2 linked regions of the Drosophila melanogaster genome follow. The protein of the gene in region 1 interacts with the protein of each later gene in a pairwise test. Each region holds a gene or a part of one and is shown on either strand. Other genes may lie near its edges.

Evidence for each region.
Region 2: the proteins of CG15439 (region 1) and betaNACtes3 interact in a two-hybrid assay, tested with the Drosophila melanogaster proteins (one large-scale study listed by BioGRID).

The regions. Positions count from the first base shown.
Region 1 is NT_033779.5:4,447,076-4,463,089, reverse strand, and holds CG15439 (uncharacterized protein), read left to right. Parts: upstream 1-10,051; 5' UTR 10,052-10,138; coding exon 10,139-12,317; intron 12,318-12,726; coding exon 12,727-13,574; 3' UTR 13,575-13,795; downstream 13,796-16,014. Other genes in the region: CG15443 (uncharacterized protein), read left to right, coding at 130-466, 527-1,266; CG15435 (uncharacterized protein), read right to left, coding at 1,531-2,886, 2,957-3,112; mRpL27 (mitochondrial ribosomal protein L27), read left to right, coding at 3,558-3,606, 3,661-3,824, 3,883-4,086; RpL27A (ribosomal protein L27A), read left to right, coding at 4,799-4,801, 5,033-5,350, 5,581-5,709; Gs1l (GS1-like), read left to right, coding at 6,641-6,704, 6,758-6,976, 7,352-7,764; ND-B8 (NADH dehydrogenase (ubiquinone) B8 subunit), read right to left, coding at 7,952-8,034, 8,096-8,202, 8,264-8,361; Secp43 (tRNA selenocysteine associated protein), read left to right, coding at 8,728-8,763, 8,825-9,799; MFS18 (major facilitator superfamily transporter 18), read left to right, coding at 14,663-14,730, 14,797-15,184, 15,239-16,014.
Region 2 is NC_004354.4:14,370,780-14,386,027, reverse strand, and holds betaNACtes3 (Nascent-associated complex beta-subunit-like, testis 3), read right to left. Parts: upstream 7,223-15,248; 5' UTR 7,123-7,222; intron 7,069-7,122; 5' UTR 7,052-7,068; coding exon 6,263-7,051; 3' UTR 6,202-6,262; downstream 1-6,201. Other genes in the region: betaNACtes4 (Nascent-associated complex beta-subunit-like, testis 4), read right to left, coding at 4,730-5,521.

The sequences.
Region 1 (16,014 bases):
ATAAACAAACAAGTGCGTACCTTTTTTGTTTACAATTTTAACAGCTGATGAGTGAAGTGCTGTTAACCTTTCATAGTTATCGATAATCTGTTATTATTATCGGAATATTGCTCACTTGCTAAGGATTCCATGAAATTTAAACAAATGGACTTTGTGACGACAACTGGGGAGGGAAGTTTTCTGCGAAACAAGATTCGTGCATATGCCAAGGATCACCGTGTTGAGTGCCGCATAAAGGCGAAAGACTCATTGCGCATTGGACTTGGACAGGTTAAGCAGGAAGTGGCGGCTCTTGAGATGGGCACCAAGGACGTCATTGGAATGGCCAGCAGGATCAAGCGTCGCAAGCACGCCACCTCCGAGGATCTGTGCCGCTTGTCGCTGGGGTTCCTCCAGAGCAATGACAACATCAATGCATTCGCAGCTATTCCTGGCGCCATTCAGGTTCTGGTTAAGGAGCTAACTGGTAACCAACTGCACCCTCATTAGCTTTAGTTTTATATAAAAAGGTTGACTTGACTTTCAGGACCTCACATTCAACGACAGACAGATGCCGTGGAGTGCTTGTGTAATCTTTCCTTGGGCGAGGCCCATGTCTCCGAAAAGATTGTCACTTTGGCGGGCAGCTACATGGTCACCTACCTTGATGGCAAGGCCGAACGCCTCAAGCGCAGTTGCCTGTGGACACTGGCCAACGTTCTGGGCACATGCGACAAGGCCGGCAGCGTATTGCTGCAAATGCAAATAGTACCCAAGCTGTGGAGGCTCTACATCGAGCCCAATGGCTGCCAAGAAGATGCGGCCATCTGCCTCTCCCTGGTGGCCACCCGCTGCCCGCAGCATGTGAGTGACGAGGATCGAAGGTACATTGGCCAGAATCTGCCTGAGAAGCTCCACGGCCAGCCTGCCAGCGAGTACTTCATGTACATAGTGCACCAACTGGAAATAGTGACACAGGAGCACAAGTTAGATGCTCAACAGGCCGAATGCCTGGTGCGTTTCTTTGAAGCCACCTTAGCATCGCCAGCCGACCGGCTGTGCCTAATCTACGCCGTGCGTGTAATGACCAATCTGGTAGCCCTAGGTGACACAAGTCTAATATTCGCACTGGCAGACCCGCAGAATCTTGTGCAAACCCTAAACCAGCTCTTCGCTCTGCGAGATCCAGATCTCAACCTGGACGCGATGCGCTTGCTCAAGAACTGTCTGCACTTGAAGGTAGCAGATTCCAACCTGGTACTGAATAGCTTGCAAATATACGCATAGGCTTATGGTTAAGAATAAGTCTTGCAAATCTCTTTATTGGTCTTAGAGTACATATAAATATAAAGCCACGGACTTTTGAGTACTCGAGAATGTATTGTAAATGAACATGGATTGCCGCTAAGCAAAACTAAATCACTAATGGAAACAGAATAAAATAAATAAATAATAAATAAATACAATACGACAAAAACACAGATGCAAAGTGGTCAACATGATTACTAGTTTGATTGAGCCACCGGCATGAAAAACAGGACTTTGTAAAACCTAAATATCATCCTCGAAGAGGGCGATTATTTGACGCCTTTTGGCTTCGTCGTCGGCGTTCAGTTCATTGCCCCTGTGGGCATTGTGGTTGTGCACCTCCAGTTCGGAGACTGAGTCAAATTCTAAATTGCACTGCCCGCAGCGGGCTGAGAAAACGGGCGCTGGACCCTGCGAAACTGTGCCAGGAGAGACAGCGGCCCGTTGCAGCTTCTCGAGGAACGTGGCTCTCTCCCTGTGCTTGTCCAGCCCGATTCCCAGCGCCGCCTTTCCGCGAATGGGAATGGGTTTTTTCACCGTCGGCGTGCCCTGGGAATGGCAACTTTCAGAGCGCTCAATGGCGTACAGCACGTTGTTCTCCTCCGTGATCGGAGTCGTCGTTCCGCTGGCACAGTCGAATAGAGATGGTTCCTGCACCGGCCGGGGATCGGGTATATCTATGGGAATTGGCGGCTCAGCTATCTTCTCACCGTTGGACACCTTCACCTGATTGAGCTTCTCGGCCAGAAGCGAGTCTATGGAATGTTCCTGCAGCCAGGCGCAAGTTTTGTGCAGAGCGAATATCATGCGGCGGATGAACTCGTGCGGCGAGACCATTTTCTGTCGCCTAATCTCGAGCAACTTGGTCACCTCGGTAACAAACGTGACGAACTGGTATTCGACGCAGTTGTCCAGATGCGACTGATGCGAGTCCTCGAACATGAAGCGTTTGGAGCATGCCGGACACTTGCGCTCCTTCCACATGGGCTCCGGTATGTTCACTTTGATGTCGCGCAGCTGCAGCTGATCCTGCTCCATGGGATCGTCCTCCTCGAAGTTGGTCTCGGTGTAGTTATAGCAGTTCTTGTGCTTGCGCAGCAGGGCCGCCTCCTCGTTGTCGTCGCTGGAACTGGCCACCGCATAGTCGTCATCTTCGTCGTCATTTTGGCCACTGCTCGATGGCAGTTCGCCATCCCGCGGTTGCCTGGGCATGCTGTTGTGAGGCTGCTGCTTGTTGAACAGCACGTTTAAGTACTGGATCTTCTGCTCAGCATTGCCGTCTAGCTGGGTAGTCGTCTGATTGAGCAGTCGCTTGTGTACCTTGTCCTTGGATGACTCCAGTTTGTTGGCGCTGTTGTTTAGCAGAAGATTATGCACTGGCCTCTGCTCCACATAATTCAGATCCTCCGCCGTGAAGAGGGCGCTCTCCTTGTCCATCTTGTTCGCATCCGAAACGTTGACCCTCTTCTGCTGGTAGAGCTCCGCCAGCTTGAGACTCAGCGCGTTCTTGATGCACTGTTCCCGGAATGTGACGGCATGCTTGAGATAGGAGATGCACGGCGCACATATGTTGCGTGGCAGTCCGTCGTCCGTGGAGTTCTGCGGTCGGTCGAAAGAGGAGGCACTCATATAAACATTTATCTGGCTACTTTAGAATGGAGTCACTTACTTTCAGGCCCGTCGTCTCCTCCAGCAGAACGTTTATGGGCTTTTGCCAGTTGAGAAACTCGTTTGTGGAGCCGTGCAAATACGTGGGAATCTTGGCGAATATCTCGTAGTCTGCGGGGCTGCTGCAGATGCGGCAGATATTGCCCCACGACGTCATACTTATGGCAAACCTTAAACTTAATGCTTATGCCGGAAAAAATAAACAATGACAATTTTCAACACTCCGGCGAGTGTTGCCCTACCACTGAAGGTTCAAAACTCAACAGTCCACCCACTTGCGGCAGTGATGTCCAGTTAGCTATAACAGGATTACAGCAAATTTTTTGAATATTAATTATTATTAGCTAAACACGTGACAGATATATTAATGACTAAGACGATAGTTTATTTAAGCATAAATAATACTGTTGAAAATACAAACGTAGATTTATTTGATATATATTTACAAAGCTAGATTTTATTAACACCAATTGGCAACAGTGGCCAACAGTCTGTTAATGCTCTTGATCTAGCTGAACTCGGGGGTCACACTGGTGCCCATCTGGAATTGCATAAACAAACCTCGCTACTGGAATAAAATCACAAATATGTCGTTTAATATCATGCAAAAGCTGACCATGCAGTGCCTGAAGGCAGACCAGCCGCTGATGAGTAAGGACTTCCCACGAACCGGTTGCATATTCTAATCAATTCAATCCCATTTAGCCACCGTGCGCAATGCCAGCAAGAAAACCGGCGGAAGTACGAGGAATAAGAAGGGCCATGCGAGGCCCAAACATCGCGGATGGCGCGTCCAGGATGGGCACCACGTCTCCGAGGGCACAATACTGGCCACCCAGCTCACAACGCGCTTTCATCCGGGCCTGAATGTGAGTAGCGCAGGAAGGAGTTATCCCGGCATATTTTTATACTTTTTCCCATTGAAAGGTGGGCTTTGGCCGCAATGGAACCCTTTTCGCCATGGAGCACGGCAAGGTTTATGTGACCTGCGAGGCCATCGATCCCAACTGGGACCACACCTGGATTCAGCGGAACTACGCCGGTCGCCAGGGCCAGAACATCTACAAGAAGTTCTTCAATGTTGTGCCCGAAAATCAGCATCAGCGATTTCGTCTAGTGGAGGAAATCTAGATTGTTAAATACAAAATTTAAACCAAATGGAAATGTGAATATTTGAATTTTTGGCAATTAACATCGATGTGCTTAACAGCACCTGTTATATTTACATGCCAGCACGACCGTTATACAGCACTGTATTTAGCAATGCTCTGAACCAACTATCGAATACACGCCCCGAATTTGAAAAGAAATCCAGTTAATAGCCAGATATCAATGCAACATTTTCGATTATTAATTTCGCAAAACTTTTTACATTGCGAACTTCAAAAACAAAAACTACACTTCCCCCTTTTTTAGCCAAGCCGAACGCTATTGAACTGTAAAATGAACTTTAATAATAAGCCATAATCATCTATAAGAAATTATAAAATTATGCACATGACGGTATAGGCACTGCCTACAGAATTTCGCTTAAATCAAGTACACGTTTTATCCTATGAATGTAAAAACTTATTTAGTATTGTTGTAGTGAAATTCAATTTAACGCTTATATATGCAGTATTATGTTTAATTATTCATGATTATATATTTTCATAATGCATATAGACTTAAATTTATCTTAAATATAATGGTGTGTACGAGATATTTTTTCAGACTAAAATGGTAGTTAGGGGTATATGTTTTCTGTCCGGATGGTATTTCGTATTTTTTGTTATCGCCGCCGGGCGGTCACACTGCTACAACCGCAGCCAACTTCGCTTCTTTCTTTCCTACAATTTTAAAGATGGTGAGTGGACGTCGGTAAATGTGGTGCACCTAAAATGTGGTTTGTGGGCAGGCGAATGATGTGGAATAGAAATAAGAGCTCACTCAAAGTGCCGCAGCATGCCTGCCCACTGACTGCAATGGCCAAGTGAGCATAGCGACTGGAGCAAGTAAACATAACCTCCAGCACGTGGGTGAAAATGATTGAGGAATGCTCAATGAAAACACGTTTCTTTTCTGCTCTCCCTTACAGTCGAATATCAAGCGGAAGAAGACCAGGAAGCTGCGTGGTCATGTGAGCCACGGTCACGGCCGTATCGGCAAGCACCGCAAGCATCCCGGAGGTCGCGGTAACGCTGGTGGCATGCACCATCACCGCATCAACTTCGACAAATACCATCCTGGTTACTTCGGCAAGGTGGGCATGAGGAACTTCCATCTGCGTCGCCAGCACAAGTTCAGGCCCGAGATCAACCTGGACAAGCTCTGGTCCCTGGTCGGAGCCGAGAAGTTCGCCGAGCTGGAGAAGGAGAAGAGCACCAAGGCTCCCGTCATCGACTTGGTTAAATTCGTAAGTTTCGCCCGAATTCCCCATCCAGCTACGCGAACTCTGCTGCCGCTTTCAACATGAAGATACACCCAAGGCGATGGGCGGACAGAATGCTACCGTACAATTGCTCTCACCGTGTAGAGGACAGCCTTTCAGATCAAAGCCAGCAGTTCTTGAAGAGGATGTGCACCCGTTCTCACCCCGTTGTAACCCATTGTATTGACTCTGGTGTCCTTCTCATGTCTCCACAGGGCTACTACAAGCTGCTGGGCCGTGGTCACCTGCCCGCCCGCCCCGTCATCGTGAAGGCCAAGTACTTCTCTAAGAAGGCTGAGGACAAGATCAAGAAGGCCGGCGGTGTGTGCTTGCTGAGCGCCTAAGTTAAGGTGAGCTTGTGTGTCTAGCTGTCTTACCTATTCGTCGGCGAAGCAATGAAGTGCAGTATCCTAATTGCTATTGTTTCCCTTGCAGATTCCTCCTCTACAGAAGAAAAAAGCAAGTGGACTACATTCGACCATCAAAAATGTATTTGTTTTTTAATAAATTTAAAAGAAAAACAAGTATTTGCTATTCCGACAAAATGTGTTTACTAAAAGGTATTGGGGCTTCATTTTCTGCTCGCTTGGCGCAAGTTGTTTAGAACTTTCTATTTCTATTCCTGCTACAACTTTCCTTTATATTTTTATAAAGAATAATTTCTATATGGTTAGTTTGTTGTGGCAAAGGAAAACTTGTATTTTGAATCAAATAACAAGGGCAAATTTAAATGAGTTTGACAATATTAGAAGTATGCCTATTTTTGTAACTTAAGAGGAACAGTAATAATATAAAGAAAATAAATAGTAATTTAAAGAGTATAACTGCGTCGGTGCGCATTATCAGTTAATCCCTCCATTTTTAGCACTATTCTCGACTAGGCTTTTTGCGCCTTCGCAGCTACGGTCACACAGCGGCGGGCAGAAAGCTCGCGGAAAAATTCGGAAGAGGCGGAAAAGTACGAGACGCCCGATATTGCAAAAAGCGGAAGCAGATTACGTGTAGGTCAAGGCCGTAGGGATGAGGGCAACTTCCATCTTTGACCTTGCTGTTGGTGATGGGGTGCGGCGACCTTGGGTCAAGGACACGACCGAACAAGAGGCACCGAATCCAGGAAACGTAGTCAAAGTGGAGGGCATGCCTGTGTGGGCGGGGGATGTTCCAGTAAAAACAAAGTAACTTGATTATGACCTCTGTGTTGCAGTTAGGAAACGAACTTGTTGACTTTGTAACATTACATAATCGGAAGCCCAGAGTGAGGAGAACTGCTGCGAGATGGCCAACAAAGTGCTGCGAAAGGTGACGCACTGCGTCTTCGACATGGACGGTCTGCTGCTGGGTGAGTGCTGCCGTGCTTGTATCTGCTTTCTGTGTTAACTATTTGCCGAACAGACACCGAACGCCTTTATACTGTGGCCACCGAAATGATCCTCGAGCCCTACGGCAAGACATATCCCTTTGAGATCAAGGAGCAGGTCATGGGCCTGCAGACGGAACCGCTGGCCCGGTTCATGGTCGAGCACTACGAGCTGCCGATGTCGTGGGAGGAGTACGCACGCCAGCAGCGCGCCAACACCGAGATCCTGATGCGGAACGCCCAGTTGATGCCAGGTACTAATCCCAGTTCTCGCTTTGCCGTCACGTTTCAGACACGGAGAGGATATACGAGGAGGTCACCCGGCAAATAGCCGCCTCCTTTGGCCGCCCGTATCCGGAGGAAGTGCGTTTCCGGGTAATGGGCACCACGGACCAGCGCTCGGCAGAGATAGCCATCACCGAGTGCCAGCTGCCCATCACAACCGGAGACTATCTCAAGCGGTACTCGCAAATGTGCCACGAGCGATTCCACAACGTACCCCTGCTGGAAGGTTAGCACCACGACCAGAAAACTAATCGGCATTTCTCCCTATAAATACTTCTGCTTCAATTACTATCCTACTGTGATTAAAGCCGTTTGTTAATCGTGTGCTTCCTTCCCCGTTCAAGGTGCTGAGCGCCTGCTGCGTCACCTGCACGCCAACAAGGTACCCTTTTGCTTGGCCACCAGCTCCGGCGCCGACATGGTCGAGCTGAAGACGGCCCAACATCGGGAGCTGTTCTCCCTGTTTAACCACAAGGTGTGCGGTTCGTCGGACAAGGAGGTGGTCAACGGCAAGCCTGCGCCCGACATTTTCCTAGTGGCCGCCGGCAGATTCGGTGTGCCGCCCAAACCGTCCGACTGCCTGGTGTTCGAGGACTCGCCGAACGGCGTGACGGCTGCCAACAGCGCCGGAATGCAGGTGGTGATGGTGCCGGACCCACGACTGTCCCAGGAAAAGACCTCGCACGCCACACAAGTGCTGGCCTCGTTGGCGGACTTCAAGCCGGAGCAGTTCGGGCTGCCCGCCTTCACGGATTGAACTTAATGGCTGACGTACTTTTTGTAGCTAAAAGATGCTATTGCTGTAATTGGAAATCGATGTACCTACCAAGAAAATGAATTTAAGTGTAAATGTTATCCCATATACACGTATACGTATGTGTGCATAAAGCATCTGGCTTTGCCTTTATTTTGCGCCTAATCTACATAGTTTTCCAGCGTAAGTTCTATTTGCCAACCGCTTCCAGGTTTTTGTGTATGTCAGGAGCAGCGTGGTTGGCCAGGGAGAGGGACACTTCCTTGCCGTTGCCTGCGGACATGGGAATCGATGTGGGGGAAGCTAGCAGCGCACATTATGCTAATCTACTCACCATAGCGGGCGTAGAGGCGGGGCTGGACGCCAGAGCACTCGCGCACGAGGATCGGCAGGTCGGGATTGCTCTTCTTCAGGTTTGGATAGAACCTTTCCACGTATTCCCTGTAAAGGAACGCTGCTTTAGCAAATTATATAATTTAAAAGCGGAAAATGACAATTTCACCTGACTCCCTTGGAAGTGTCTCCTTTGGGATCCAGAATGATTCGCAGCTCCTTCAGTTTTGGAGTAAAACTGGCCAATCGGAACAGAGTAATACCCATTTTGGCACCACTTTTGCGATTTTGAAATGTTCAGGAAGTAAGTCTATTTAAATGTCGGTACTACGCAGGGTTGTCAAACTGTCTTGGATTACATATTGGTATTATTGTTTTTTAAAAACAAATTACTTTTTGGCTCAAACTAAAATAACGTCTAACTCACCAGAGACGCGAACCATTAGTTGCATCGTTTGAATATCCATTCCAAAGACAAGAACCAAGGCAATTGTCTTGGCTGACACCAGGTCAGCATTTGATTGGCCCACATCGATAAATACCGATAAATGCTTGACGGCCAGTCACTCATTTGTTTTGGTAAACATCATTTGTCTCTGGAAAATATTCAATTGAACACGTATTTGAACAATTATGGCGTCCGTGCATTGTCAACTGTGGATGGGAAGCGTAAGTAGCAACGTGCATTACCCCAGACACATGACCCTTTAAGCCCGCATGGCCATTTCAGCTGGAGTCCTACATGACGGAGAACTTCATAATCGCCGCTTTCCGGAAGATGGGCGAAGATCCCACCACGGTGCGCCTGATGCGCAACAAGTACACGGGCGAACCGGCCGGCTACTGCTTCGTCAACTTCATATCCGATGACCATGCGCTGGACGCGATGCACAAGCTAAACGGTAAGCCCATTCCGGGCACCAATCCCATTGTGCGATTCCGTCTTAACTCGGCCAGCAACTCGTACAAGCTGCCCGGGAATGAACGCGAATTTAGCGTCTGGGTGGGCGACCTCAGCTCGGACGTGGACGACTATCAGCTGTACAAGGTGTTCTCCAGCAAGTTCACATCGATCAAAACCGCCAAGGTGATCTTGGACAGCCTGGGGTTTTCCAAGGGTTACGGCTTTGTGCGATTTGGCATCGAGGATGAGCAGAAATCAGCGCTGTACGACATGAACGGGTACATCGGATTGGGTACCAAGCCCATAAAGATTTGCAATGCCGTGCCCAAACCCAAATCCGAGTTGGGTGGTGCTGTGGGCGAAGGCAACACAAACTATGGATATGGAAGCGGTATGACTGCAGCAGGTGGCACCGACTACTCGCAGTACTACGACCCCACCAGCACCTATTGGCAGGGATACCAGGCCTGGCAAGGTTACTACGAGCAGGCCGGTGCTTCGATCACAGATGCGGCTGCATACTACCAGCAGGCCATGTCGCAGTCGCACTCTAATCCGCAGACTCTGGCCCAGCACGCCGAGGCCTGGAGCGCACAACGCAGCGCCCAGTACGAGCAGCAGCAGCAGCAGCAGACCGCTTCCGCCGCCAATGGAGCTGAGGATGAGAACGGACTGGTGGAGCACAAGTTCGTCCTGGATGTGGACAAACTGAACCGAGAGGCCATTGATGCCGACCGCCGTCTGTACGATGCTCTGGAGAGCTCTAAGTGGCTGCCCATTGAGCAGCTGGAAGTCTTTTAGGATACTTATCTACTATATTTATAGCTTACTATAATTACAGCTTAGATATAAGCAAAAAATATAAAAGCCTGACTTGTAGCGTATTATTGTTTTTGAGCCTGCTATAAACTTTTATGCTCCTGAATCTACATTTCTTAACAAAGGATTCAAAATAAAGGATACATTTTTACAAAATATCCCTAATATCCTTACAACAGATGTATTTTATCGATATACAGACGGAATACTATTCTGTCCGTGTCATCGCCATGTCGGCCTATCGACTGTCGATAGTTTCTGCCTTGGCCCGAGACTTTCGGAGATTGTGCAGACAATTGCGGACTAAATAAGCGTTGAATCATGAAGCGAGCGCGGCAGCCGAAGATTACTACGCAGGCCCTGCTCGATTTTGACTTGGGCGAGAGTTCCTCGGATAGCGACTTCCTGCCGGACATCGACAACTGCTCGGACGGATCGAAGGACGAGAGCGATGGCGACGGTAGCAGCAGCGACGCCAGTGGTGGCTCCGATTCTGAATCGGATTCGGATGCGGAGAGCGAGGATTCAACACTGCAGCTCCGGCAGCTGTTGGCGGAAACGGAACCGTCACCACTGGAGAACGGGATCAATGGAGTGGACCACTGCGCAGCTTCCTCCCCGGCAGCACCAGTAGTGCCTCGTGCGCCACTTCAGCTGTCTAGTGCTCCGGCCAAGCGGATGTGCTGCGTCTGCCTGGGCGAACGCAGCGACGACGTCAACGAGATCGTGGAGTGCGACTCCTGCGGCGTATCTGTCCACGAAGGATGCTATGGCGTCAGCGACAACGTGAGCATATCCAGTACCAACTCCACCTGCTCGACGGAACCGTGGTTCTGCGAGGCCTGTCGTGCTGGGGTCTCGGAACCGGACTGCGAGCTGTGTCCCAACAAGGGCGGCATCTACAAGGAGACCGACGTGGGCAAGTGGGTGCACCTCATCTGCGCTCTGTATGTGCCCGGCGTGGCCTTTGGCGAAGTGGAGCAGCTGTCCTCGGTGACGCTTTTCGAGATGCAGTACAGCAAGTGGGGCGCCAAGGTGTGTTCCCTTTGCGAGAACGCTCTATTCGCTCGCACGGGCGTTTGCATTGGTTGTGATGCAGGCATGTGCAAGACTTATTTTCACGTGACCTGCGCCCAGGTGGCCGGCTTTCTTATCGAAGCGCACCACGAGGACGATGCCGCCGATCCGTTCTACGCTCACTGCAAGGTGCACTCGGAGAAGGAGATGATCAAGAAGCGACGGCGCAACTACCACACACTGCGGCTCAATATGATGCAACGGGCGAGGGAAAAAGAGGCGTTAGCTGCCGAACATGAGACACCTGCCCCTCACCCAAATCCAGCCCAAGCACGCATTCAGCGTAAGCTGCTCAAGATCCAACACAAGTATACCAGGCACAAGGAGCTTAAGCCCACGCCGTGGGTGCCAACGCAGAAAATGTCACGCCTGCTCACCACCTCGGCCTCCGCCTGTCGTCGACTGTTGGCCAAGGCGGAGATTATGTCAGTGGATGTGCAGCATCTGGAGCAGCGCGAGGCGCACATTAACGCCTTGACGGACATTCGGAAGAAGTGGCACATTGCGCCGGCATTCAGCGTTGAGTTCACTGCTTACTACATGGACCGTATAGTCCGCATGGATGACTTCCGTCAGCAGCAGCGGGAGCTTATTTCGCACAACGCTATCTTGTCCAAGGATCAAGACGTGCTGAGAGCTCAATACGACACCGCGTTGGAGGAGCGCAAGGCAGTGAAGGCCACTAAGGATTCCCTGCTAACGAGCATTAAGTCTCTGCACACGGCTTTGGGCCAAATTGCACCCAACATGACGCTGCCCAGCGTGGATCTCATTGCGCATCCACTGCCAGAGGCGCCGCCAAAGACCAGTACGCCGACTCCACCCCAGCGTCCCATCTCGGTGCCCACGGCAGCTGCACTGAAAATGGGCGTGGGCTTTCCGTTGGGTCATCTGGGGCCACCGGGCAGTAAAATGGACTCGTCACGCATGCTCAGTACTCATGCCAAACAGGGCAAACACAGCACTTCCTCGGCATCCGTGGAGGCGGCCCCTTCTGTGTCCTGTGGCATCTGCAAGAGGAGCAAGGATCAGCATCTGTTGGTCAAATGTGACACTTGCAATTTGCACTACCACCTGGGCTGTCTGAATCCGCCGCTCACTCGACCCCCAAAGAAATCCAAGCAGTATGGCTGGCAGTGCTCCGAATGCTGCGACAAGTCTGAGGGTTCGGATGCCGTCACGGAGATCTCATCGGGTCCGAGAAAGTCACGCACTCGCTTCAATAAGGATGGCCATCTGGTCTATGTGGATCGATATTCGCTGGACGATATTCCAGTGGCCGCTGTCAATGTACCCAAGGAGTCACACACCAAGCGAGCGCTCAACAAATCCCTGCCAGCTCCTGCTCCGGAATATATAGAAGATCTGACTAAGTCGCCGAAACGGCCTAAACTCCAATCCCCATGTAAAACACCAATTAATGGTGAGTTCGTTGTTGAGAATTCGATTTGGCACAATACCTGTTTAGATTATTATTGCTGATTTGGAGTTTTTGGTTTATTTTTTTTTAAATGCAAATGTGTAAATATGTATGCGTGAATTAACGGAATTTTTCGCTTGATGGTTAGAGAAATTTATGATTTATGAAGAAATTGGTTTTCTGTTTAATCCTGATTATCACTACACTTGTTTTTTTTTTGGCCTGTACAAAGAAAGTCAAAACTATCTCAAACATTGATCTTTGTTTACGTTTATTGAATTATACCCAATTGGTATTTAATACAAGAAATTATTTTTTTGTTAACAAATAATAAAGAAAAAATTTTTTGCGCAAATTCAAGTATGTTTAATAATAAATAATAAAACTAATGTCACGGATCTTCTTCCGCCAGTTCCTGCCGAAAATGTCACTCCCACAACTGATGCTGCTCCTGTTGCCGCTTCGGCGGCTACTCCTGCGGCAGCTCCAACACTGCCCACGCCCAATACTATCGTGATTAACCTATCTGGCTGTGAGGACTCGATTGACGACTCCAGTGGAAAATTATCGCGCAAGGGTAAGCGCAAGGACAAGCACAAAAACAAACACAACCTGTCGTCGGATACAGAGAAATCGATCGGCAAGGAGCATAAACGGAAGCGAAAAAAGCGCGCCCACCTTGACGAGTCTTCCACCCATTTGGATAACGCGGGCAACACCTCGGGCAGCACCATTAAGATTATATTCAAGGCATTGCGTTTACCCGGCGAGGATGCGCCGGAGTCTCAATACTTCTACGTGCCGGCCAATGCGGTGCGCTCCGTGGACGAAGCCTCGCGCCCCACCTCAGTTGAAACAGTCGAGGACAGTGTCCAGGGAGCGGAGCAAGCCTTGGCACCCATCGTGCTGCCGGCAGCGTCACCGCAAAAGGTTCGGGAGCCCAAGGAGACTGCGGCCAGCGCTTCCGTCAACCCCACACCATCACCTAAAAGAAAGGTCAGTCCACGAAAGGCAAGTCCCCGAAAGCCGCGTGTGGGTCGACCACGGGTGTCCAACGCCAAGCCTAATGTGGAAATCAGCTGCTGCGTGTGCAGCCAGACGGGCAAGTCCAACCAGGTGGTGACCTGCGACGAGTGCCACCGGCACTATCACTTCGCCTGCCTCGATCCGCCGCTCAAGAAGTCGCCCAAGATTCGCGGCTACTCCTGGCACTGTGCCGACTGTGATCCCACGGACGAGGATGCACTGCCCAAGAAATAGAAGCAAACATGATTTTTACGTAGATTTTGTACCATTAATATCATTAGGTCCGTGCGATATTTACAAAACTAAAATTGAATACACAAAATAAAATAAGTAAGACACATTCATATTAAAAATAAAATATTGACCAAATTGTAATTTGTCACTCGCTGAATTGTTCGGCTCAGTTATTTAACATATTTATAAATACATTTATTAATAAAAACCATATAAATATTACCGAATTGGATTTCATTAAAGACGGAACCCGAAAAGGACTCATGAGACGTTCAACCGACATGATACGAAAACGGAAATTAATTTAACATTGTTGTTTATTATTTAGCATGACCAGCATTCCATCTCATTTTTGATTCTTAAATACACATATAAAATTATACAATTTTCAAATTATTAACGATCTGACCACGAATGTTGACCATGTTTTGGTGTTTTAGCAAGGAAACTCTGCATTTTTCCATCATATTCCTGAAAACAATCAGAGTTATGGACAAGTACCAAATACCAATTCCAATACAATTGATTTGTATTTTATCGGCATTCCACTGGCATTTCCGTTAAATGTGCTGTTAGGAGCCCAACCACATGTTGTGCTATCGAATGATAATCGATTCACGGCATTCGATATCATATAAACAACGAAATCGATGTACTTTTCGGTATGCCCTACACCGGGCTTAGAAGAGAACATTAATTTAGTACTTAGGTTAATTTATATCTATATATTTGCAACCTATAGTCAGTTTAAAGGAAATATATTCTTTATGTTTTGATTTTTTAGCTCGAACTACAAATGATATATGTTTATGCTTAAATACAATATTGTTGAAAAGATATTATGCTATAAAGTGAAGTCTATAGCCAAGTCGACCAAGCCGCACTATGCTCTAGTCCAGCGGCTGTTGGAAAAACGGCCACGTAAAAACATAATTTTAACAGGCGCAAATACTTGGCGTGTCTAGTCGCCAACGTGAATGAAAGTAAACAAAGGGCAGTAAAATATGCCACAGCGGCAAGCAACGAAGCAGTTGGAGTTGATATGTGACGTGAAGGAAAGGCAATAGTTCCGGACCCAGTTTGTGACCATGGACGAGAAGCTAAAATATTCTCTGCTGCGCGGGGAACTGGTGGACACGCAGAGCATTTGGACCAGGTGGGTCTCACAGCATACAGCTCACTAAACCTCCCCAAGTACAACTCCTTTGTCGGATCATTGCAGGCATGAGAAGCGTGTCTGGTTCATCACCCTTATTACGGGCACCTGTATGCTGTACTCCACCCGCACCACTATGCCACTTCTTGTGCCGGCCGTGGCATCCGCCCAAAAGTGGAGCAAAACCGACTCGGGCACTGTGCTCAGCTCCTTCTTCTGGGGCTACACACTCACGCAGGTTGTGGGCGGCTACTTCAGCGACCGCTTTGGAGGCCAGCGAGTCATTCTGTTTGCCGCAATCGGCTGGTCGCTTATCACATTCCTAATGCCCACTATCATCTGGACGGCGGGCTCCATCAAGAGTTACGCTATTCCCTTCATTGTTGCCATTCGAATCCTGAACGGCGCTCTTCAGGGCGTGCACTTTCCTAGCATGATTAGTCTAACCAGTCAGGTGCTTAGCTAATTTTATAAATTTACACATAAACTATAACTTAATCGTTTGCAGAATTTGTGCCCCAATGAGAGAAGCAGCTTCTTTGGGCTGCTCACAGCGGGATCGGCTCTAGGTACTCTTCTGACTGGGATTATGGGATCTTTTCTGCTGGACTACTTCGGCTGGTCGTATGTATTCCGGGTGATAGGACTGATGGGCATCGCATGGGCGCTGGTGCTGCGCTACTATGCAATGGCCGGCGAGCGAAACCGAATCATTAATATTGCCACGCCATCCCGACTGTGCGCGAACAAGAGTCCGGCAGAGACGTCAGCCGTGCCTTGGTTGCGATACTTTCGTAGGCTGTCCTTCTGGGCCTGTGTGCTGACTCACGCCTGCGAGATGAACTGCTTCTTCGTGCTACTCTCCTGGCTGCCTACATACTTCCACGACGGCTTTCCACACGCCAAGGGTTGGGTAGTGAACATGATCCCGTGGCTTGCCCTGCCACCGTGCACGCTATTCGCCAAGTACTTGACCACCAGATTACTCGCTCGCGAATGGCACACGACGACGGTGCGCAAGGTCATCCAAAGTTGCTGCTTTGCCGCTCAGAATCTGGCCCTGTTTGTGATGAGCCGCACCTCGGACTTCCATACGGCGCTCATCTGCATGACCATTATCATTGGCGGCACGGGCTTCCACAACAACGCGGTAACAGTGAATCCCCAAGACCTGGCACCTCTGCATTCGGGCAGCGTCTTTGGCCTGATGAACACAGTGGGCGCGATTCCTGGCTTTCTCGGAGTATACTTGGCCGGACACATTCTGGAGCTCACACAAAGCTG
Region 2 (15,248 bases), on another chromosome or scaffold:
AACTGGCAACTTTCGTCCCTCGAATTCATTTGCAATTAAACGCATAAACATTTTAATTATGCCAAAGCTTCGTCCGGGAAAGTTTTAACCCCCCCCCCCCACTTCACCGTACCCTACCACTTTCTTTGTTTGCCAAGTTTTTGGCGCACATGCATAATGAAAACTTTCCACGGCATTGTCAGTGCAAGGCAAAAGTCGACTCAGCAAAAGTCTGGCTATCAATTTGTTTGTTTGGCCTTTTGTCGGTGGGCGGCGAGTGGCGGCTTTGGTCGTGGAGGTAAGGAGGGGGGGGTGGGGGCGTGGCACAGGCGGTACAGGTGGGGCTACTAAGCCGCAGCAGCTTAGGCAGCAGCTTAATGAATTTACATAACGCACACACAAATCAAAAGCCAAAAAGGAAACGGGATGGTGGCCCCCCATCCACATTGAGAACTCAACTTTTGCCACCGCAAGCGGGCTAATCAGCTTGGGGCGAAAGTTTTGGGCGAAATTATGCGAGTTTTCTGTTATTAAAAGGCAACCTTAGAAGTGAAAGCCTTAGAAAAATGCGCAATAAATAAAAATCAAATGCAAACGTGAACAGGAAATAAATGAGAAACTTTTCTTTGCCCAAGAGCAAGGCATTCATCAATGACAAACTCGTGGCAGGATCAAGCTGCTGCATTCAATTGATGACAATGAGCAGCGAAATTGAATTGAAAATTAATGTTAAAATTAAAATGAAAAATGGTGGATATCGAGAAAGAGAGTACGCGCAGGCGGCATACATGCAGCCCCACTGAGTTGACATATTTTCATTAAGATACCCGAAATCAATTGAGGAACTCCTCCATATACTTATGCGGGCAGGCAATCATTTACAAGAATCAACTACATTTGGGCGCGCCAGTGATATATGAAGAGTCCGTCTACCAATTATTAGCTGACCCCAACAGCCAACAACAGACAATTGGCCAACATTTTAGTGAGCAAGAGGGGAAGATGTGTGTTTTCCAAACCATCGGACCTTGGCAATAAAATTAAAAGTCGCAACCGCCGAAAAGGACCTCTTTGCGATGGGAAATGGCAAAGGTTTTTCTTCCACTGCTATTTATGGTCATGTGTTTTTCGTGTGAGTGAGTGTGTGTGTGTGTGTGTGTGTGTTGGTGTGTCTACTCACTCACACATAGCCGGCTAAAAGTTAAATTTATTGCCCCAACCCCTCACCCTTTTTTCAGGATATATATCTCGTGTTTGTCTTGCGCTTTTGTTTTCGCCTCATTCCTTTTCTTGGTTTCTCGATTCTGTTTTTCCACTTCGGTACAGATTTTCCCAAATAAAAAAAAAAAACAGAAAAAAGGAGAAAACTCACCCCTTCAGCGCCTTACTTCTGCCACTGCATTTATTTCACTTGATTTTCAAACAAAATTTATAAGTTGCGCGTCGCGTCGTTTATTTTGTTTTAATAGCAAAGCAATTTCAAATATAAAGACATTACCCAGCGGAACGAGAACGTGTGCTTGCATTCGAGTGTATGTGTATGAGTGTGTGTGTGTGTGTGTGTGTGTGTGTGTGCCCAACAGAGAGTTGCCAAGGCCTGAAAGCATGCTGCAGTATAGTATTTTTGGGCCAGGTTACCTCGTTTCGCAGACACTGGTGGCGAAAGTTAAGCAAAGAATTTTTGGCAAGGACAAGGAATGTGAATTTGGCATGGAATAGGGGACTTGGAAAGGGAACGAGCGATGCAGAATAACTCTGCTAAGAACTCTTTCCGAAAACGAATCGAAAATATTGATATAAGAGCCTCTTAAAATAGATTACAATAATTGAAGAGCACTGAGGGCGAACTTTTCCCCTCCTTCCATTGCGAACTTCTCGCCAGCTGCTGACCCCATGACCTCTTTTGGAATTGTGAGAAGCGCGGCGGAGGGTGCAGTTCATAATTGCCGTTTCAAGAGCATCGCAGTTCGCAGTTCTCAGTTCGTAATTGTTCTTCGACCAGAATCGAATCGAATCGAAACGAATCGAACGGAATGGAATCCTGTGCTGTGTGCAAGGACTTCTTTTGAGTCCTTGCTGCGATACGTGCGTGTAGTGTGACCAGCTGTTGTCTTCGCCAAGCTCGATAACAATCACCAATGGCTTGTTACAATAACTACAGGCTGCGTCTTTTGGCGAATGGGACCTTATCAGTTACGGCAAAGTCAATTTAGGGGTCCAACACATGTCCGGGTTCGCACGATTCAATATTAATAAACACTTAAGCCGTGTGTTAGGGACAGGGATAGTCGACCGCAATACAATGTCCTCGAATCGGTTTGCCCGGGATGTGGCCATATGCCCGGGCGACACATGTGACTTAAAATGAATGGCATCGTTTGCGGATGACAGGCGAGGACCACGACCAAGGAGCCATCAGGAAGTAGAGAAGCGGGAACAGAAGCGATGTTTCCACATATTAAATTCACGCTGCCTGCCAGACAGTTGCCAAATAATGCGTATTTCATTAGAGTCCAAACAAAAGTGGCGACAATATAGCACAGGGCAGACCCACCCACAGCACTCTGGGATCGATACAAGTAGGTGTTGCGGATAGGTCTATTTTTCACTCAGCCTAATGAGATGTTCTTATGGCCCATTCATCTTCATCCATCAACCATTCGCCGCATCAACTGGATACGGCATTCTTTTATGAATTATTGTAGATAATGTTCGACAATAGTCATCAAATCGGAATGACAACTTTCATAAACGCCACTATTTCCAGAAATTTCCAGAGTTCATCATGGACGAAGAGGCAAAAGGCGAGCGACATAATCCAAATACCATTTGAACGTCTTTCCATTGCTTTTTTTTTTTTTTTCTTCAAAAGCACTCACATTACATTCCAAGGTAAAGTAAGCCACTTGGTGGAATGGCATCAGCTTAGACTTTTGGATACTTTTGATACTTTTTGAAATCCAACATTAAGCTCTTGGAAGCTTCAGTTCAGACCAACAGAAATTTTATATACCATAAAAATATCAAATAAAAATGCCTCAGAAGCATCGCCTTGACAATTTTAAGCTTTTATCATCTTCAATGGGTCTCTACTTTTTTATATTTATATTATTCTGGCATGTCTACGAGTATATGTGCTTTTAAAAACGCAACAAAAACGAGGAACTCCTATGCGAAATGTTTCATTTTGGTTCAAATGATTCAATTCTATTCTATATAAATATATAGGCAAATATCATACAACATTCCATGGGTATGTTTATATCTGCTTAAAATTTGTAAAATTTTCCACGTGCCAAAAGCGACGGGAAATACGAAAACAATAGGCAGATTTGCCACATGTAATTTCACCTTTTTGGTTCTTTGAGGCCCATATTTGGCTGTCGAACAATGTGCGGATTAATCAGTGTTAGCCACAGCCAATTTGGCTTTTAAGAATTGGAATGCGTATGCATTGTAGGGAATCTTGTGGGAAATTAAAGTGCAACACCCCATCCCCGTTCGGAAGAGCGATATCGTTGGTTTTCGTTGGTGTCTGTCGACAGACCATAAGTCCGCCCGATTTGGCCCCGATTCCATTGGGGAAACTCGCTACCAATTTTGCCAGAGTGCTGGCTCCCAGTTGGGATGAAGGCCATCCATTGTTGCCTCGAAAGCAAAAGGGGGAATAGCAAACGCAAAAGCAAAAGCTGGGACGAGAACAAGAGCTTGGGTGCTGATCATGGGGGATGTGGATACAAACAGGGGTGCAAAATTAATTATACACGCATGCATAGACAAAGGATACGGGGGAGAGCAAGAGCAGGAGCAGGAGCAGGAAAAGGAGCTGTGGCAGGACCTGGAGCAGAGGGAGGACACCTCATAATAATCACTGGTGGCATGTGCTAATACGATAATGGGCAACCAGTTGGCAGATTCCACATCCCCCCGGGATGTTTTTCCGTTTTTTCCTTTTTCGCTATCTGTTTTATTACCTTTTTGCTATTTATTTATTACCACTAAGAACACACACCATACACCATTCACCATACACCATACACCATACACTACACACTTATACATATACACACATTTCATGTTCCACATATACAGCACATCCGGTACGCCCACTCGTGTGCTCCGCCAGCTCCACCCTACCAACACCATCGCACTTTGAGGCTCCATAAACAAATATATTAAATTTTAATGCTTAATTTATGTGCAGATTAATTTCGTACATTTTTCGAGGCGCAGATTAGTTTTTGCCGCCCTTTCCACCTCCGCCACCGTGGAACGTAAATAGGGGCGTGGCATTTCCTCTTAAACGTTTACTAAATTAATTTTGCTCGGATTTCTTGTTTAATGCGTTCAAGAAATGCGGCACGAAAAAGCATTCAAGAGATCAAATGGATCTTTAAGCGACTCAATAGTTTATTAACTTTTCCAATCTTTAACTAAATGTGAACAGGAATTATGTTAATAAACATCACTTAATTTTAGAAGGATTTTCGGTTTTTGTGCCTTGTTTTGCGGCTTATAACAATGCAAGACGATTTTAGCAAATTAATCATTCGTTGGCCATTTCCCCAAATAATATTGACTAACTCTAAGAAATTCTAGAGAAAAAACATGTAAGGTATGCGAGGTATATGTACGTTAATAGTATGCGATTTATTTAGCAAATTGGTACAAATCTAGCAACATATGAATATGTCTAATCTTCGTCCTCGGAGACCTGAGCGCGTTAAGTCTTCGGATTGAGCTGCTCCGCCTAGGAATCATAGCCATCGGAGTAGAAAGATAGGTAAATCGACTCCTTACTGTCATCGTCCTCCTTGCCGTCGGAATCATCGCCGAAACTTCCCAGCGAATCTTTGTCGCAGACGACGGTCCGATCCACATCAGACTCATCCGATGGCACCTTCTCATTATCCGGATCGCTACCATCTTCAGAGGAGATCAAAATTGATTTACCATTGCTAAGCTTCGGCTCCGAATCCCCGCCAGCCATGGCTGCTTCCTCATTGTTTTTAGAGAGCATCATTTGGACCTTCTTGTTGCGAGGACGAACACGATTGCGCAGCTTCTTGGGCTTCTTGGCCACCACCTTAATGGTTTCCTCTGATTCTGGCTTTTTGACGGAAAAAGCTTCCGGCTTGGGTGTCATGGGTGCCATGGGTGCCATGGGTGCCATGGGTGCCATGGGTGTCTTGGGTGCCTTGGGTGCCTTGGGTGCCTTGGGTGCCTTGGCTGCTTTGGCCATTTTCGATGGGCCAGCTGTTGACGATTTGCGCACGAAATCGCCATTAACAACTAACAAACCATTGGCAGAGATGCCCTGAACCTTGGGCATGACTACCACAACCTCACTGGAATCGGTGAACTCGATGGTCAACTCATGGATTCCGCTGATATTCTTTAACGGTATCTTGGCCAATGTCGCCTGCACGCGCTTCTCATCGACCGCAGCTACTGATGGGATTCTCTTATGCTTGCGGCGCATAGATCCTTTGCCTCCGATGCGCACCACCTCCTCCATGTTCTGTCGCTTGTTGAAATCCATTGTTTTGTTAAGAAAACCTATTAACTTGTATGGGTAAAGTGCGTGGAAAAGAATTCTCTTGAAATGCTCACCTTGAAAATTCTGTGCTTTGCAAATTTATATTTTAATTTATATAATATTAAGTAATATCCGCTCCGAGATGTGAATCAACTGAAGTCCTCACGCCAAATCAGAAATGTGACTTGTAGACTGCAAAGTCATCGTCTTTTTTTTTAAAAAGGGTTGCCAGGGCTTTGTCATGTCCTTGCAAATGGGAACTCTAGACTCTAAAATTCTTATTATGTTCGGCTGGCATAATAAGTATTAGTGCTTTTTTTCATAATAAATTATACAATTTACAGCTCTGGTAGCATAAATATATTTTTTTTGAAATATATTCATTTTTTTATTTATAATAGATATGTATTTGGTTGTAAATTGTGATGATAGCTATTCCAATTATTTGTGGCCGATTAATTATTCTCTGGCCATTTCACCAAATAATTTTGACAACTCTAAGGTATTCCATGCGAAAGAGAACACGAAAGAGAACACGAAATAATGACTGGCAAAAACTTAACGCAGCGTAAGAAATCACGTTCTTGTGAGATAAACATTTAATGAAAATTTTACAATGATTAAACATGTTTTATAAGTATTTCCAAAAAATTTAGAGAAAATATATATGAAGTGCAGTATGTACGTATATAGTATGCGATTTATTTAGAAAATTGGTACAAATGTAGCAACAAATGAATATGTCTAATCTTCGTCCTCTGACACCTGAGCGCGATAAGTCTTCGGATTGAGCTGCTCATCCGCGGAATCATAGTAATCGGAGTAGGAAGATAGGTAAATCGACTCCTTACTGTCATCGTCCTCCTTGCCGTCGGAATCATCGCCGAAACTTCCCAGCGAATCTTTGGCGCAGACGACGGTCCGATCCACATCAGACTCATCCGATGGCACCTTCTCATTATTCGGATCGCTACCATCTTCAGAGGAGATCAAAATTGATTTACCATTGCTAAGCTTCGGCTCCGAATCCCCGCCAGCCATTGCTGCTTCCTCTTTGTTTTTGGAAAGCATCATTTGAACCTTCTTGTTGCGAGGACGAACACGATTGCGCGGCTTCTTGGGCTTCTTGGCCACCTTAATGGACTCCCCTGATTCTGGCTTTTTGTCGGAAAAAGCTTCCGGCTTGGGTGGCTTAGGTGGCATGGGTGCCTTGGGCGCATTGGCTGCCTTGGCCACTTTCGATGGGCCAGCTGTTGACGATTTGCGCACGAGATCGCCACTAACCACGAAGAAAGAATTGGGAGGGGTGCCCTGAACCTTTGGCATGGTTAACACAACCTCCCTGGAATTGGTGAACTCGATGGTCACCTCTTGAATTTCTCCAATATTCCTCAACGGTAACATGGCCAATTCGGCCTGCACTCGTTTCTCAACCACAGCCGGGGATGGATTTCTCTTGTGCTTGCGGCGCATAGATCCCTTGCCGCCGATGCGCACCGCCTCCTCCATTTTCTTCAGCTTCTTGAAATCCATTGTTTTGGTAAGAAAACCTATTAACTTGTACGGGTAAAGTGCGTGGAAAAGAATTTTCTTAATATGCTCACCTTGAAAACTCTGTGCTTTGCAAATGAATATATTAATTAATATAATATTAAGTAATATCCGCTCCGAGATGTGAATCAACTGAGGTCCTCACGCCAAATCAGATATGTGACTTTTAGACTGAAAAGTCATCGTATTTTTCTTTGCGTTTTTGACACGTGCTAAAAGGGTTGCCAGTGCTTTGTCATGTCTTTGCAGATGGGAACTCTAGTCTCGAAAATTCTTATTATGTTCGGCTGGCATAATAAGTATAACTTTTTTTTTTCATAATAAATTATGCAACGTACAGCACTGGAAATTTGTAGCTTCAGTAGAACATTGTCAAATATATTCATTTATTGTATTTAAAAAAGATATTTGGCTGTAAATTGTCAAGATAGCTCCTGCGATTAGTGCTTAAGGGTTACCACAATTACCAGAAAAAAATTCCATTCAACTATCGATATATTGTGAATGTCAGCGGTCTGCTGAGTTGGTCACACTATTCTCGAAATTCTAAGGAAAAGAACTTAACCTATGGGCTTTTAGTGATTGTGAGGATCCATTTGTTGCTGAGATTGGAAAAAGATTGGCCAATTTACAGCGAAGCAAGGGATGTACGACCAAAAAAATTACACTTAAAAAGCAGGTCAGTCAAAAGAAAAGAAGGGCAATGAAAAAATGAAAACACGTGGTTGACGCTTATGACAGTGGGCCACTTTTGGCGCCACTCCTGGCCAAAAATTCATGCCCAGTGTTAACCAAACAAAGTTGCTGTGGCCATTTGTCCATCATTTCGCTGCCGGGCTGATTAAATTGCCAGATTTTCACTACTATGGCTGTCATTTTGTTGTTACTCCCCCCCCCTCGAAATGACGTTGTTGTTTTTGTTGTGGCCTCGTAAACATTTCAGTGCAATAAACGTTTATTTGATTTTATTTGTTTTAATGCGGCGAGGCGACCTCAAGCCCAGGCCCAAACCCAAACCCAAACCTCAGCCCAGACGAAACCAAACCAAACCATTTCAGAACGCCTCTTAACTGGGCTCAGTTTTGGTTCAGACCGGCTCCTCGCTCAGCGCTTCAGCCAATTGCCAGTGGCTGTTTGCTTGGCACAGTGGAATGTTTTTTTCGCAGTCACTGTGGCCGCGTAAAGAGCTCGCGGCATTTTCCTCCTGCTGCTCATTTGTGACTGTGTGTGTGTGTGTGTGGGTGGGCGGGTGTTGCAAGGCGGAGATGGGGGCGTGTATCTGTGCAAGGATGCCCATTTCCTCCATTTCTTTTTGGCACCAAAGCCGCAGTTGTCAATAGAAAAAGGAAGAAACGGAGAGGGAGAGAGAGAGAGAGAGAGAGACAGTTGAGGAAAACTTTAACTTTGCTGCTGCACTTTTTGGTGAAATGAGAAAGTGCAAAAGTGGGCGGCGGTGGAGGTGCTGTGCTCAGTAGAAAAAACAAGAATGCGGTCATTGTTACGTTTATAAACAGAATAAAAGAGCGGGCCAAACTGAGATGCACACACACATACTACCAAACACATACTGACCGCATTACCAACTGCCAAACTGACCGGCAAAAAGGTGAATGGGCCAAAATGGAGGATGGGCCGCAGCTCAGCCTCAGCATTTTGGCCGATATATTTTCTGCAATGCTGCACATTTAAGCCAAGAGGAGAAGACTCCAGGCTCACCTGGCCCAAGCAACGTAGTATATATTTTGGTCTTTGGGTTTTTTCTTCCAATGCTCTCGCTCTCGCTCTTGAGTAGCATTTCGTTAGATAATTTTCGATTTTTTTTTTTTCTTTTACTTGTTTTGTGATTTATAACAAGTGCTGGGATGCCAGGTTGCCGTGTTGCCAGGTTGCCAGGTTGCCAGGATGCCTGGAGGAAAACAAGGATGAGGCTGTCCGAACTAGAGAATCCAGGCAGTGGCATAATCTACAGTTTGTGTTTTCAATGACTGTCAGCAAGTGCATTTGGAGTTATGTCAGCTGGAGCAGCTCTGTATGTGTGTGTGTGTGGGAATTTCAGAGAAATCCAGACAGTGAAGCAGGAAGTGAGAAAGAGAGAGAGAGAGAGAGAAGGAAAGGCGAGTGGGTGAGGAATGGAGTGCCAACTGGCGATGACTGCATCCTGATTGTGTTGACCACAGTGCCAAAGTGCCCTGGCATCCTGGGGAGCGGAACTCAATCGCCAGTCACAAATGACAAAAATTGTAGCACCAGATCTCTGCTCTGCCCAAAAAGCCAGCCAACGCAATTGGAAATCTAAATGCACGGAAGTGTTGATATGGGTTTTATTTCAATTTAATTGGTATCTTTCTAGTTCCTGTGAATTCCACTAGAGACAGAAGAAATGAATGCAGAACAACAAGAATATAAAGTTATGTTAGGATAACATTCTCAAATCGATAACCAACAAACGAACTACAAGCCAACAAATGTTGATTTGAAAACACGTAAATATATTTTTGTGTTTATTTAATTACTTAATGCATATATAATAACTTCATTTATTTTACAGATCGTTATCTATAATTCTACTTTATATAACTATTCATATAATACTAATGAGGCTTGCCGTTAAATCGTATAAATATGGGTTTGATTACAATTCCACTTGAAAATAGTATACAAAATGAGTGAGTATGTTACAACATAGATTACCTGTGTGTAAGTAGCCTGTCAGCAATTGAAATTTCGAAAAGAAAGCAGCCGTCATGTGCACGTACATATATATCCCCAGTTTTTCCATTCCCCCTTTTAATTTCCCATTTCCATTTGCTTTTGGTCCACAAAGCAGCAGAGCTGTCAACTGTTTGGCGATAAACAAAGGACCAAACAAATGAACAATTGTCACCTTCTTCTCTGTCTGTGGCCTTCAACTTTCGCAAGGAGTGGGTGGTGTCAGTGGGTTTAAGGGACATTTCCGCCCCTCGCCCCCTTCGATTATCACAGATGAGCAATGGATCTCACACATGTGCTCATCTGAAAGCTCACCAAGTGGAAGGTCCCTTTCTTCAATCAAAAATATCCAACCTGTTTGGCATTTCACATAAGAACATTTCAATCGAACTGAAACTTTGGTTTTGATTCCAATTTTCGATTTAATTTCATTTACTTGGCTTTCAAGCTCGCAGCTATGTGTAAATTACTATAACTTAATTGGTACATTTTATAATACTTTTGATAAAACTACAATCACGACTGAAATGATGGGTGAACCCAACTGTGTTGTGCTGTTGATTTTAGTCGAGTATATTTGCTCAGCGCCTGCAGGTCGAAGGCTTTTGGCGAGCTTAAAGAGCTCAGATGGATTCCCGGACTGGGGACGTTAAGTTGATTAATTGCAAAATTTTAAGAAAACAAACTGCAAGTCAAGACAGCCACTGGAGCGTACACCGAGAGAAATCTCCAAGGGCTTTTCCCCTGCCATTTGGGAGAGCTTAAAGTCCGTGGAAATTCGAAACAAAATGAAGTGAAAAGTGGGCAGAGGGAGAGAAGAGCTGAAACAGCAGCCGTTGAGGCAGGCAAAATTAAATTAAGCAAATGCCTGGCAAACTGTCTGCCACCCATACACTCACATACACACACAGACAGACACTCTGAAACAAAAGGAAAGTCGCCAGTGTGTGTATGTATGTATGTATGAGTGAGTGAGGGAAATGGATTTTGGGTTTTTCTGAGGCTGAGTGAACGATTTGCTGGCCGTTTTTTCATGTCACGCGCGCTTTGTTTGCCATTTTGAAAAATGCCCAATGCACACACACATGCAAAGCGAGTTGGCCAAGAAGCGTGCGGGTTGTGTGTGTAGGTGTGGCAGGATGTGCCAGCGTGTATGTGTGCATGCATGTGCATATGTGTGCGATAGACTCACGTTCTGCTCATAACTGAAATTCAGACTTTTAAAGCTCAACGACGGCAGAAGGCAGAAGGAGGCTTACAGGCAGCTGGATAAACCAGACAATGTCCGACAGGCAGGACACTCTGGCCAAGACTCAGGACACAGGCGATGTTGTTATTGCTGTTGTTCATATTTACGTCACCAAAATGCTTAACCCGTTTATGCCATTAAACGGATTTTACAGGCCGCTGAAGCCGAACCCAAATAGGAAATAGGAAAAGGAAGAGGCCCAAACCAGCAGGACAATGGCCAAGAAAAGTAAAAAGGCAAGGGACCCGAGTTAGTTAGAAAGAACCGAACACTTTTAGGGGGGGTTAATGAACGTGCCTAGCCACTGGCAGTGCCCAAAAACATTTCACCGAAAAACCAAACAAAAAATGAGATGATTGAGGAAAAATCTGGTATTTTTCCTTGCTAAACTCTGAGTGACACATAAAATCGCACGAAAATGTTGAAAGAAACGTGCCACTAGCAGTAGGCATTTATGTTGAACGCAAATTATCGATTTTACTTTAGTTTAGAAATTGAATTCTGCATTGTGACTTGAGACCCATGATGCTCATTCAATTATCACTTTCCCAGCTTGCATATTTCATAGCTGCAATTTCATCGAATGTTTTGGAAATTGTCATTAAAGTTCTGGAGACTTTAATGAATATTGCATTTTCTTTTAGTAATACGTACATATATTAATTCTACATATTAATTAGTATGTATTTTTTGAATTTACCAATATGTCAGATGTCTCTATTGTAGCTGCAATCGAAACAATAGTTTGCAAACTTTTTGCTAGATTTTGCTATACCAAAAATGTGGCTATCTTTCCTCTTTTTGAAAGATTTTAATTTAAAATCTCAGGCAGTGAAAATGTTGCACTTTGAATCATCCGCCCATTCGATCTGCAATTAGGGCAATGCAAAAACTGTTAATTGATTTTAAAATTCTGATTGCTGTTATTTTTGGCATATTTTCCTGACCTTCCCATAGCAAAGGGCATTCGTCAGCAAATTGAAAGGCTGGGCGTAACATTTTCCAAACCCCACTCTTTTTTTTTTTTTTGGGAAAAACCCCAACTGGCCCCTGCCGCTGTGTTGTTAGAAACTATTTTTAGTGCCCAAGTTTCTTAATAAATTTCCAGCGTCGTTCTTTTATGATTATTTGAAAGTGGGCGGCGAGTGGTGCGAGCAGGGGGGGCTTTTTCGATTGCCAGTGGTGCGGTGGTGCTGCTCATGAGTGTTTTTGTGGGTCTGTGGGTCTGTGGTTCCGTGTGCTGCAAATGCGGAATGTGGAAAAGTTCACCGACGAGGAGGCACACACAGCATGCACTTGGTACTTGGCCCTGGCGCGTGGCGAGTCAAATGAAAATGAAAATGAAATCGGCATAAAACACGACAAGTGGAGGCCATTAAAGCGGGAGCCAAATGGGGTGATCCGATGCCAAAGAGCTGGGCCAAAGTGCTTGGAAAAAGCTGGCCGTGCGTATAACCATATATATATATATACATACATACATATATTCGTAAAATGGATATGGTAACGGAAATGCAATCGAAGTTTTTGAAAGCGGAAGGAATATAATGAAGGGCGCGCTGAGTTGAATGATGGGGGCGGGGTGGAAACCTATTGGAGCTCCTTTTGCCATTCGTAATCGAAATTCTCTTTGATCAAAGAAAAGCGACTCAAGGCTGTTTAAGTTTCTCTCGCTCCTTTTCCATCATTTTTTTTTTTTTTGTTTTACTTTATTTGTACCTGCAATTACTTAACAATTTTAGAACTTATTTCTTGGGAGCGAAAAACTACACACGTGCACATGTCGCAGGACATTACTCATGAGCCCCATCTTGCCGCATTACTTATACGCCACATCGTCATTAGCTTTCTTGGCTACTTTCATCCTGCAGCATTTCTTTATCATTTCGGTATTCCCTTGTTGCCTGCACTTTTTATTTATGTATTTGTTTATCTATTTCTCTTGCTTTGCTGCTTCCAGGATAAACAAGTTTCCTTTCACTTCCTCTCTTTTCTTTTTTCCCTGTATGTGCGTGTGTGTGGGTGCGCTCGTGTGCCTGATGATATTTTTCGGTCAATATCAATATGTGGGCAAAGAGGCAGCCGCCCCACACACGAAAAACACCTGCCAATGGTGGATGGTGGGTGCCACCATTTTTATCCTGGGTGCCAGCGAAAATATTTTCGCATACCAAAAATCCCAGAAAAGGTATGGCAACTAAAGAGGAGGCGGGGCAGAACTAAAAGCGCATGAAGCATAAATTTCGCATTAACGTAAAGCGCGAGAAAAAAAATGGGGGAAAAAAAAGAGGAGGAGCGAGCGACACAAAATATGCAATAATAATGCCAAAAATAAATACCAAAAATACACCAGCACACACACACACACACACACACACTCACACAACATCATCACGGGTTGCTGAAATAAAAGTAAATAGAAAGGATGCAGAAGGGAATGAGTAAAGAGCGCAGGAAGAGCAGGGACAGAACGGAACGGAAATGCAAAGCACAAGCTGCCTAGATTACTCATGCGCCCCGTGTGCTCCGTCGCATAGGAGCAAGAAGCAGCAGCATCGCATAAAGGGAAGGGAGAAAGTCACCAGAGCGGGGCAAGTGAAGGTTGTGGGCGAAAAGAAAAAGCGGACAGCTTAGCGGCAGTGATGGCAGACCGGCGACACAGGGCTTTAACTTAACCAACTGAGGTATTACGAAAAGAATTTCGCATAAAACAGCTCAAAATGGCAACACAATGCGAATTTACTTAAACTTGACTTCTGCTTGATAGCGAATATCTTTTATAATATTAATATTTATTATTAACGAAAGAGATAATTTTCAAAAAAGTTACAATAAATAGGTGAAGAATAGGTGTCACAGGGAAAAATGTTTTTCAACTTTAAATTCTTCCTTCGACTGCTACTTTCTATTTCGTAATAATGCACTAAGTACTTATGTATTTAATAAAATTTCATTCATCCATTCTAGGGTATTGCCTCGTCCTGCCCAAACAGCACGACTTTTGCATCAGCCCATTGGCATGTGCACATATTATTCTTGCCTTTTTTTTTTTTGGGCTGCTGCTCTTGTTATTGTCTTGCCATCGCTGTTCTTGATAGTTTTTGGAGCGCATTGCATACACCCTGCCACACGGATATATTTATGCATATATACGCAGGTCTTTCGAGATCTAGGATATGCGGCTGTGTGAGTTTATGGACATGCATACATATAGACGGCGCTCAGGCAAATCCGAGGATGCATGTGAATATTTCCCGCCGCTTGTTGACGTTGCCACAGTTGCTCAGAACCTGATGCAGAAGCAGAACCATCAGCAGCTACAGAAGCTTCTGATGCTGATGATGTGGTCCCGTTTCGAGCTCGTTCTCCGCCACATCCTGCAGGATTCGCCCGACTTTGCCCCACTACTAACAACGTTTGACAAACAACAACAGAGGCAAGCCGCTACCGCTACGTATTTATAAGCTGTATTCCCGTAGAGGAACGAGCAAAATACTTTGCTCTGAAGCCTGATATGCTTATGTTTAAGTTGGCAAATAACACGATTTTTATGTGCTGATATCATTATAAATGTGCTGCAAATAATACACTTAAAGTGAAGGTGCGCTGGCATCAGCAAAATATTGTCATAGTCCTGCGACCAGGCATCCTGGATCTACAGCCATACTCCATTCATATACATATGTATGTACATAGGTGTGTGTGTTTTTGGGCTTTGCGTCGCTCGCAAACTGCAAACAATAATGGTCGCCAAAGATAACAATAGATAATGGGGCCAAAAGTCCTTACAACATTGCCTCATCTTATTTCAACATCTCGTTAGCAAGTGCTCAAAATTATTCGACTGCAGTCGAGGGAATTTAATTGATGCTCAATTGAAAAGTTCATTGTCAATTCAATTGTATTGCAAAAGGAGTAGGTTCAATAGTTTGAGTTTACATCAACTAGACCAGATTTACAGCCACCAATGCAAATACATTATTCCATCACTTAGACTCATTCATAAGTCAGTGCACTAGTCAATTGCCACTGTGGCCCACTTTATTCGCCTCGCGTTTCCTCATTTTCAAACGTTTTGCGCGTGTTTATTGCCACTGTCGCGTTTTTAAACGCGTCATTTGCCAAATTGCATGTGGCATGTGGCATATGGCACAAGCTGCTGCTTAATGCGCCAGCCGGCAGCCAACTAAATGCGACATGTACGAGGAGTAATGAGAGCGA